3 linked regions of the Kluyveromyces lactis genome follow. The protein of the gene in region 3 interacts with the protein of the main gene of each other region in a pairwise test. Links are inferred from orthologs where the notes say so. Each region holds a gene or a part of one and is shown on either strand. Other genes may lie near its edges.

Region 1 (2,766 bases), on a different chromosome or scaffold from region 3:
GTGCAGTTATTCTTTTCTTCGTCAATCGCTTCCCAATACGTGAATGAACAAAGAGTTAAAATCAACAAAAAAACATCAATGTTTCTGGTGTGTAACCGTCAGCAGCTAGAATGGAACTGATCAAGATGTATGGCTAAACACTTATATGCCACTTTCTTATATTTAAAATGTACAACCAATACCTTCTCAAAATCTTCTCATCTCATTCTTTATGTTAGCTCTTTCATTGATTTATGTTCTCTGTAACTTCGGTCATTTTTCTTCACAGAATTCCTTGCAGAATGAAATGAAGAGGGCGGCCTTTATTTGCTCAATAAGCTCAACTCGAATAAAAGTAAATCGAACGAGACTTCACTTGAAACGAGAACGTTCATGTATCACTGATAAGCGGTAAGAGCAGCCTCATAGAGCACTTCAATCTTTACTGAGTACCTTCAGTAATTTTTTTTTCTTCATTTTGTTAACTGACGTTGTAATATTACATTGTTTGGTAGATATACACACGGTATGAATATGTATCTAGAAAAAAGCTCTGGTAAGAAGTATCAAATAACTCGTTACCTGAAAGGAGGCCTGCTTGCAAGGTTTTTTGGATTATAGGTTCTCTGTCTTGTTCTTACAACTCTATTCGGTAGAGCGGGCTCTGTATTTGTAGATTCACGATTAGCAGAAGAGGCAGAGCCAGCGGTAGTCGATGATCCTGCCAAGATAGGAATTCTTTTTGCACTGACTGCTAGTGATCTTTTTCTTTCTCCAGGAGTAATACCTGTTAGTGTATTAGGTATAGTGCCTATTGCAGCGTTGTTTCGTATTTGATGTAGAATGGATCTTCTTCTGAGTTTCGATGACGCGGAGCCTACCGTTTGTTTTCCCATAAAGTCAGTTGAAGCTCCTACTGAAGATATCATTTGAGGTTTGAAAGTAGTTGGGTTGGATACAAACGAAGCGGCTGTGTTATCTTCGTCATCGTTAATGTCAATGTTAACATTCGAGCTTGCAGTAGAACCTGGCACATTTTCATCACGATACAACATCTGAGAACCTCGTGATAAAGGTTGTCTTGAAAGAGGTAATATGCTTCCTTTGGTAAGTTCCTTTGGCTTGAGTTTCGCCTGTAGTGCTTGTCTTTCTTGTTTCAACTCTTCTAGTCTTTGGATTAATTTCAATTCATGCGGAGTATCATGAGATATGTTCGGGAAATCAACACACCAAGAGTTACACATCAATCCGTATAATAAAGCGCTTAGAGCCTCATTTAAATCCGCTATCGATTCATGAATGAAATTCATGTGCGTCATGTTACCATCGAGTGTTACCATCGAGTCCGAAAGTTCCTGTAATTGTGGGAGCACGTATTTTTCAATCATTGTTTGATTTGACGCATGCTGATCTCGACCGTTGTTGCCTAAACTAGATCTTCTTGAGCTTGCATTAGATGACAAAGATAGTCTATATTCAGTTGGCCTGTCCCGCTGTGGAGTATTTGGCCTTTGAGACATATCTTATGAGCAGATGAATCCAGCAGTTTTATGTTGAGTTTGGAATAGTGCCAAGTAGCCCTGAGAATTTAAGATGAAAGGTCAAAAAAAAAAAAAACAAGTAATGAATTTACCTCAGACTGTCTATGAGATGTCAAATTAGATACCAGGTTGCCCAAAGAGACACTATCGCATTCCGTCTGTCTGCTTGGAGACACCTTACTGTTCGTGTTTTTGTTTTGCTTTACTTTATTTACGTTTTCGATTTTCGATGTACAAGTATTTCAACGATAGTTAGTTAGTATTCATCAACAGGAATGAAAATCATTCAAAATAGCTATAATAGTATTTACAGGTACAAACAAGGTTGATACTACTATGTGTTTAGTAATTAACTGCTTGAATATAATTTATTGGAATTTGAGTATCTCGAATACTAGAAAATTGAAGGAAATGATGGGATCGAGATAGAAATTCCTGAGAATATCAATATGTGTTTCTTTATCACATGAACTTCTTGGCATGTTTTAGCTTTTGCCTCTTTATTTCATCCTGTGACATAGCGGAACCACGACCACGTCTTAGTGCAATGATAAGGAAGATAGATGAAAGCAGAGATAACCCATACCAAGTAATTAAATATTGTAAATGATTATTCTTCAAATCAATCTTTGGTGCTTTACCAATAGGCACTCCCGCTTTAACGAATTGGAACTCGTTAAATTCCAATCCTGTCTCCGAATCTGCTGTATTTACTTTCTTCGTGTTGACGTGTGGTTTCTCGGATTCTTCTTGTTGTGGTTCTGTTTCGGTTTTCTTTTTAGACCAGAATTTCCAAGATGATTGGTTTTTGTTATCGATACCCTCAGATTTTGATTCTTCATCCCAATGGTGATCTTTCAGATCGTAAAGAGCTTGGTAATGAATAGGAGAAGTATGTGTCATCTCTGTCATATCCTTAATATCCAAGACTTGCCACAATCTACTCTCCCTGTCTTCCTTCTTCCATTGCATTGATGTCAAATCTTTAGCTGCACGCACTAACACTGTAATTGTCACGTTATCGCCTTGAGGTAAAGACAAATGTTGCAAGTTACGAGATGATGGAACGATTTTCTCCTCCGAGATCCAACCACGTTCAATCAAAATTCTTTCTCCCGTATCCTTTCTGATGAAAGGCGTATATAAAACGTACCCCTTGATCCCTCCTCTAACACGGGGGCCGACAAAAATCTCTTCATCATGCAAGAATCTACCGGTCATAGTACACTTGCGGTATTCCCAGTCT
Region 2 (2,523 bases), about 1.0 Mb from region 3:
GAAGAGTGCACTGTCCCGTATACCTTATGGCAAAAAGTTGTCACATATATTCAATCTTGCATAGTATATTGGTTATTATTGGTTTAGAGCTAGTCTCGTGATTTCAGTCCTCAATATGAATTTCAAAGTCGAAAAGAGAAAAATAGCCATATTATTCGAATATCATACTAATAGGCAAAGAGTGAAAGAAATAGAATAATAGTTTATTATGATTAAATATTATATTATGAGCTCATATACACATTTTATTGCTGTTTGCAGGTATCTTCAAGGTCTTTGTCGATGTTACCTAGATTTTCATCTCCTTGTATTTCCAGCATCTTGGCTAATTCTGACATATCGTTTCCAGGATCGTTACTAGTTCCCTTTGCAACCGGTGAGTCACCGAGTTGCTCTAGTTCATCCAATAGATCTGCGATCTCAGCATGGTACTTTTCATTCGTATAATCATCGCTTTCGAATACACCGATGATCTGATTCACAAGTGCATACTGTTTCTTGTAGTTATCAATCTTGTCGCTGTGTTCGGGGTCTTCTTCGTGTAATCCCATCCACTCGGTGAATTCTCCCTGCATTTGTTTCATCGGCTGATATAGCACTTCTTTAGAAGACATTTGTGAAAGCATTTTCAAAATGGCATTGTCCATTCCTTCTCCGTCCGTACCGTTGCCATCGCCGTTTTCCACTAGTTGATCTAGCAATTGGGAAAGAATATCGTCTGAGTTCTGATTTTTCTTCTCTTCCTCCAAACTTTCATCCACTTTCGTAGAATTTTCTTTCAATCTATCTAGGGTGTTGGAAATGATATTCTTGAAACCAGTACCGCTCTTCAATTGCTCCTGAACGTGTTTTACACTGTTATGGTCTTTCTCCTTCGATGCATCTCCAAGTACAGTTAGCAATGTCTCGAAATTCTGAACCATTTCTTGGTCAGTATCACCGCCTTCCTGCTGCATCAATTGTTGGAACTGTTTCTGCAAATCTTCCATCATCTCGACTACTTCTGGATCATCGCTCTGCGTAGCAGGCTCACCCTTAGTAACTGCCTCATTTGGAACAGTTTCTTGTTTTTCCTGTTCATCCAGTTTGCGTGGATCCTCTAAATAGTCATCCAAATCATCAAATTCGTCAACTTTGTTGTCTGACATCGTTTGTCGAAGTATCTGATTACTATCCGTTGAAATTTTGGTGGTGCGTAGCCCTTACTATTAATTATACCTCAGTTAAGGTTTCTTTAGTCACTGTCAATTCTGAAAAATATCACTTTTTCTTCAAAACACTATTGATGCTTTTTCTACAATATCAAAATCATCTTCAAAATCACAAACAAAAAGACGTATCGCACGGAATATCATATCCTCCAATTATTCAACAACGGTAAATCTGAGTTAAGGCTCTATTTACAACAGGGCGCAACGTACCTTAATATATTTACGGTATCTGTATATTAAAGCGACTCGACGATCAGAACGGCCGAATAATATAAACAGTCATGAGTAGTCTTTGTCTACAGAGGTTACAAGAGGAGAGAAAGAAGTGGAGAAAAGATCATCCTTATGGGTTCTTTGCCAAACCAACTAAAAAGACAGATGGATCTATGAACTTGCAGAAATGGGAGGCTGGTATCCCTGGAAGAGACGGCACTCTCTGGAAAAATGGTCTTTATCCTTTGACCATTGAATATCCTGATGACTATCCGTCAAAACCTCCTAAAGTGAAATTTCCAGCAGGATTTTATCACCCTAATGTTTATCCCAGTGGAACCATTTGCTTATCAATCTTGAACGAAGATCAGGACTGGAGACCTGCTATCACCTTGAAACAACTCTTACTTGGTGTACAGGATCTTTTGGATTCTCCGAACCCTAACTCACCTGCGCAAGAGCCAGCTTGGAGAGCTTTCTCGAAAAACATTAAGGAATATGAGAGGAAAGTCTCAGAACAAGCTCTTAGGTATACCAAGTGATACCTCCATAATACAACTTCGGAAGTAAACCATTTACTGACAGAGAAAATGCAAATACGCAGATGACGGCAGATATCAACTTGCGGGAAACCCTGGGCCTTCCCCAGCGTAAAGCGCAAATCAAATAAATTTGCTGTATTCTATGGCTCGATTTATTCTACGGTGTTGACCATTGTTATATGGCTGTATAGAGATATATCATAGGATGGAACGATCCAGTAGGTGTATAGTTCTCGTGTAAAATTTAAAATTAATATCAAGAATAATGCTAATGAATACTTGATTTATTCAATTATTTTGTATTTTACTATTATCAGGTGTAGACTGTATATATTTATTGTTTTATTTGTTACGTTCATTTTGTTTGTATGCAATAAAACTATCCAATGTAGAAAAGCAATCCTGACATCTTTCTTTCAGTTGAGGATCTTTGTTCTTGTCAACAAACTTGAAAACATTCTTCAAATTTAATGAAACCTGTGTTTGAAGTATCGAAAGATAGTTCAAGTTTACAAATACTGGTTCATCGTAATCAAAGTTCATGTCTGAGTATATTT
Region 3 (4,086 bases):
AAAAATCGCATCAACTGATCCGAGGAATCATCAGTGGGAACGACGTGCATGGAAAAGAAACGTGCTGAGAGTGATGGGCTTAGTTGCCGTTATTTGCATTTTGAAATGCATATAACGGTGTATCTTCCCTCTAGTTGCATATCTGGAATATCTGACGATTTTCGGAGAATTTTGGAGAAAAAGAAACTTTTCGGAAAAACTAGGAGGCTGCACCAGAGATAAGCAGAGAGAAGACGTTGCTATATATTACCCGGGACAATATATGCATTCTAGGTCATGTGACTGGAAGCTTCCCTCTCTGGTTGTCATGTCGGAGTTTGCGCTCAATTCGTCGTTTATACAGGAATCTATTTTGTACATAGTGGATTCTCTTAATCTACGCCGAGATTGTTGAAACCGGACCTGGATTTGGCCCTCATTCTTTCTATACGTGCCTTTAATTGGTTCGTAACTTCTGCAGCTCGTTTCCACGATTCCTCTTGCAACATATGGTTGTTCAAGTTTAGGGAATTGACACGTCTAGGTAGATCGTCGCTACTTTCACTAGGCGATCTGACCCTTTGAGGAGTCGTAGCATTTTTAGTAGATCTCAGAGGTGATAAGGTAGTTGCTGTTAATCTTCCTCTGCTAATGGACGAGGATATGGGTGAATCTGTTGACATGGTATCGGAAGTACCGCCCGTCAGTTTACTCTCTAACTCCTTGATCTTTAAATTCTTAGCGTTCAATTGATCCTTCGAATCCTGCAATTGCCTTTGTAAATTGGAAACGTATGTCTCAGACTCGTTCAAGAGTTTATTTACTTTGGAAAGTTGTAAATTGGATTGATTTAAGTTGGATAAGAGATCGTTGCGCTCCCTTAGCCATTCTTGTCTCTCTTGTCTTAATTTGTTCACTTCATCGTTTAAATGTGACATTCTGTTGGATATGTTTGTCTGTGGTGTGAAATTGCCAGAGAGGCTTGTGTTGGAACTGGTATTAGATTTGGGTTGTGTTGAGGAAGGCAGATCCGTATGGTTCATCATTTGATGAGTAGTTAGAGACCTTGAAGTCAACCTGGACGACTTCGTGTTGCCATTCAAGGCAGAGTTACGTGCCGGTTTCAATGGAGAAGTGGCCAGTCGTTTTGAAGGGATCGTTGAAGACAAGGGTTGGGATCGTACTACTGGTGCCGCTGATCTTAATTGGGTTTGCGGTTGGGTTTGGTGTGGAGGTGGAACCGTTGCCGCCTTGATCTCCACTTTATCAACAAGTTCAAGGATCTTCTTCCTTTTCAAGTTATCGAGCTTGTCCAAATATGTTGATAGTTCTCTTTCATCGAATATCTTAATTAAGATAGCAATACACTTGAAACCCTCATTTCTTGTTGCCTGTTGATTGTCGTTTACAATGGGCTGCAAAGAATTGAGTATCGCTGGCAAATTGGAGAATACCGACGTTCTATGAAGAGTTTCAGTCGGTGTCCAATTGGATAGCAACTCGAAAAGAAATTTCGAGCATACAATTTTTACCTGTGGTACTTTGTTCTTCATGTGTTGTAACACAGACTCGAGACATAGCTCTAATTTATAGTACTTTGAAAGGTTCAGGAGAGCATTGAAAATAGAATCTGCGACGTTTGGTTTTTTCTCCTTTGATCTAGTTAGGAGAGCGTTTAAAGTTTCCAATGCGAATGGGTTATATTCTGATCTTAATGCGGATATTAGTATATCTAAACTGCTGGTAGATATTTGTACTGCTTGTAGGTTTGCATCGGAAGTGATAGTCGAGCAAAATTTGTGAATGATTTCAGAATGATCTTCATTTGATGCTGACAATTTTTTAACCTTGGTTAAAGTCTGATCGTGGAACTCTTCTAAAGCTTCCACTCTATCCTTCCATTTGCTAGACGCCAAACTCTGATAGAAATTATTCGGTAGCTTATCTAATATAGTTTGTACGGGGAACATATCATATGGATCGATTGATTGGTTATCCAGAGCAGCGGCAGACTGGCCGTTATTACCTGCCATTGCTAGATCTCCGTCATGATCCAAGGGTAAATCAGTTGAATTGTTATCACTCTGAGCCGGGACTGCCCATATAAACTGAGACGGTGTTGAAGAAGGCGGTATAGTGCCCTGGTACGATTCAAACAGTTTATCCAGGTCCTTCTGTTGTATGGGCTTCAACTTCCCCAATAGAAGCTCTTGAAGTACAGGTTTATTAAACCATGTATATAGTTGTAAAATCAACTGCATTGACTCATTCCTCACAGATTTATCCGCATGTGAGCAAAGTTTAGGTAAAACTTCCACTAGACCCTGTAACGATTGCATCTTCTCCTGTTGAGAAACGTTCACGAACCCAAACTGCTCTATCAACTTTACATGAACCATTAACGCTGCAGTCAACAGCTTCGGTAATTTTTTGGTCCAAATCGGCGTCAGACAATTGATTGCATTTACGATATTATCATCCAATGACACGACAAGCGAAACGCAGGCCAATGAAGCCTCTTTCGTCGCTGATTTCGAGGAAGTCATACCTTTCTCCACCAGAGCTGGAACCCAGCCCTGAACCAATTGACCCGGCTGACACAAATCTCTGATCTGGGGTACGTCGATCATAAATTTCAACAAACTGTACAAGGCCTTAACGGCAGATTCTTGTGCAACAACATTGGAATCCAATACGTACCCCGTGAAAATCTCAGGTTTCTTCCAATACTTATTAACGCCACTCTCTGCAACTCTAGCAACGGACAGTTTATTGAATGTGCTTTCTAGCTCATTATATCCATGCTGTCTTGCCTTCCAAAGCTTATGAACAAGTCTCTCATCTAGTGACAGAGTCTGAAAAGACGCCGAATCATCCGTAGCGTTATCCATGGGAGATATACACACGCGATACAGCTGGCAGCACCCTGTGTTGACTCACTGACCGTCTATTTTATTCATGTTGTCTCGTCTGTTTGTTTGTTTACTGGTTGATTTTGATTGTTTTTGTTTACAGAAACGATTGATTTCAAGTCATGTGATATATCACGTGACTTTGTTGATATGCTTTGGATCGGGTTTGCAGAAACCTGAATAATGGGAGGGTAGGATCTATTATACACGTACACGCCCCTCCAATCACTCAATCGGCGCTGATGCGTGTTGGTTGAACATTATACAGTCAATTCAAGCCATTCAAAACACCGTTACACGAGTGTTGGCGCTTCCACCTGCTTACAAATGGACGGGTTCTAGCTGATTCCAGCTCTCGATTCCTGATTAGCAAGCAAAAATTTGTCAAAAACTCGATATTTAACCAACATTATTATATAAAGGAAGTAAGATACATTTAAAGGTTATTTAGTTGTCTCTTCGATTGATTATCGGATAATCTGATAACTTTCTATCCTCATCAAATAAGGTACAATTTATCTTTACTATCCCCTCCAATTTCATATATAATGGTCGCTCAACTTACTTCCGCATCCGAATTCGAAAAGGCTTTGACTGACGACAAGTTGGTCGTCGTCGACTTCTTTGCCACCTGGTGTGGTCCATGCAAGATGATTGCCCCAATGTTGGAAAAGTTCGCTAAGGAATACGAGGGTAAAGCTACCTTCTTGAAGGTTGACGTTGATGAGTTGCCAGATGTTGCAAAGAACAACGATGTCAGTGCTATGCCAACCCTAGTTTTCTTCAAGTCCGGTAAGGAAATTTCTAGAGTCCTAGGTGCTAACTTGGCTGCTATCAAGCAAACCATTGCTGCTAACGTGTAAAATTTTTTGTACACTGCTTATAATATACATTTTACTATATATATATCAGAATAAATTCTTTACATTTCTATTCTTTGATCATGGTTTCTATCTCCTTCTCAGTGTGCCCCAGGATGTATAGGACGTCTATCATTGTATCACTGTTTAACTTACATGGGGCTTGTTCTTGGACCTTTGGCTTGGCGTTCCATGCGATTCCGAACCCAGCTGCGGCCATTGCGTTCAAATCATTACCACCATCTCCGACCATGACGGTGGATTCGATCGGAGAATTGTACTGTTCTGCAAGAGCCACCAACGTCTTGGCCTTGCGCACTCCGTCAACTATATCG

What was found.
Region 1: the proteins of STU2 (region 3) and DAM1 interact in binary tests that used the Saccharomyces cerevisiae proteins (3 or more experiments, as listed by UniProt). The link is inferred for Kluyveromyces lactis from reciprocal best matches to the Saccharomyces cerevisiae genes STU2 and DAM1.
Region 2: the proteins of STU2 (region 3) and UBC9 interact in a two-hybrid assay, tested with the Saccharomyces cerevisiae proteins (2 studies listed by BioGRID). The link is inferred for Kluyveromyces lactis from reciprocal best matches to the Saccharomyces cerevisiae genes STU2 and UBC9.

The regions. Positions count from the first base shown.
Region 1 is NC_006038.1:999,333-1,002,098, forward strand, and holds DAM1 (Dam1p), read right to left. Parts: upstream 1,500-2,766; coding exon 558-1,499; downstream 1-557. Other genes in the region: cytochrome oxidase assembly protein SHY1, read right to left, coding at 1,983-2,766. UniProt on the Saccharomyces cerevisiae protein: Component of the DASH complex that connects microtubules with kinetochores and couples microtubule depolymerisation to chromosome movement; it is involved in retrieving kinetochores to the spindle poles before their re-orientation on the spindle in early mitosis and allows microtubule depolymerization to pull chromosomes apart and resist detachment during anaphase.
Region 2 is NC_006041.1:441,954-444,476, forward strand, and holds UBC9 (E2 SUMO-conjugating protein UBC9), read left to right. Parts: upstream 1-1,492; coding exon 1,493-1,966; downstream 1,967-2,523. Other genes in the region: PEX19 (Pex19p), read right to left, coding at 246-1,148; SYO1 (Syo1p), read right to left, coding at 2,309-2,523. UniProt on the Saccharomyces cerevisiae protein: E2 ubiquitin-like--protein ligase mediating SUMO/Smt3 attachment to septins and PCNA. Seems to be involved in degradation of S- (CLB5) and M-phase cyclins (CLB2).
Region 3 is NC_006041.1:1,460,478-1,464,563, forward strand, and holds STU2 (Stu2p), read right to left. Parts: upstream 2,871-4,086; coding exon 372-2,870; downstream 1-371. Other genes in the region: thioredoxin TRX2, read left to right, coding at 3,440-3,754; SER2 (phosphoserine phosphatase), read right to left, coding at 3,822-4,086.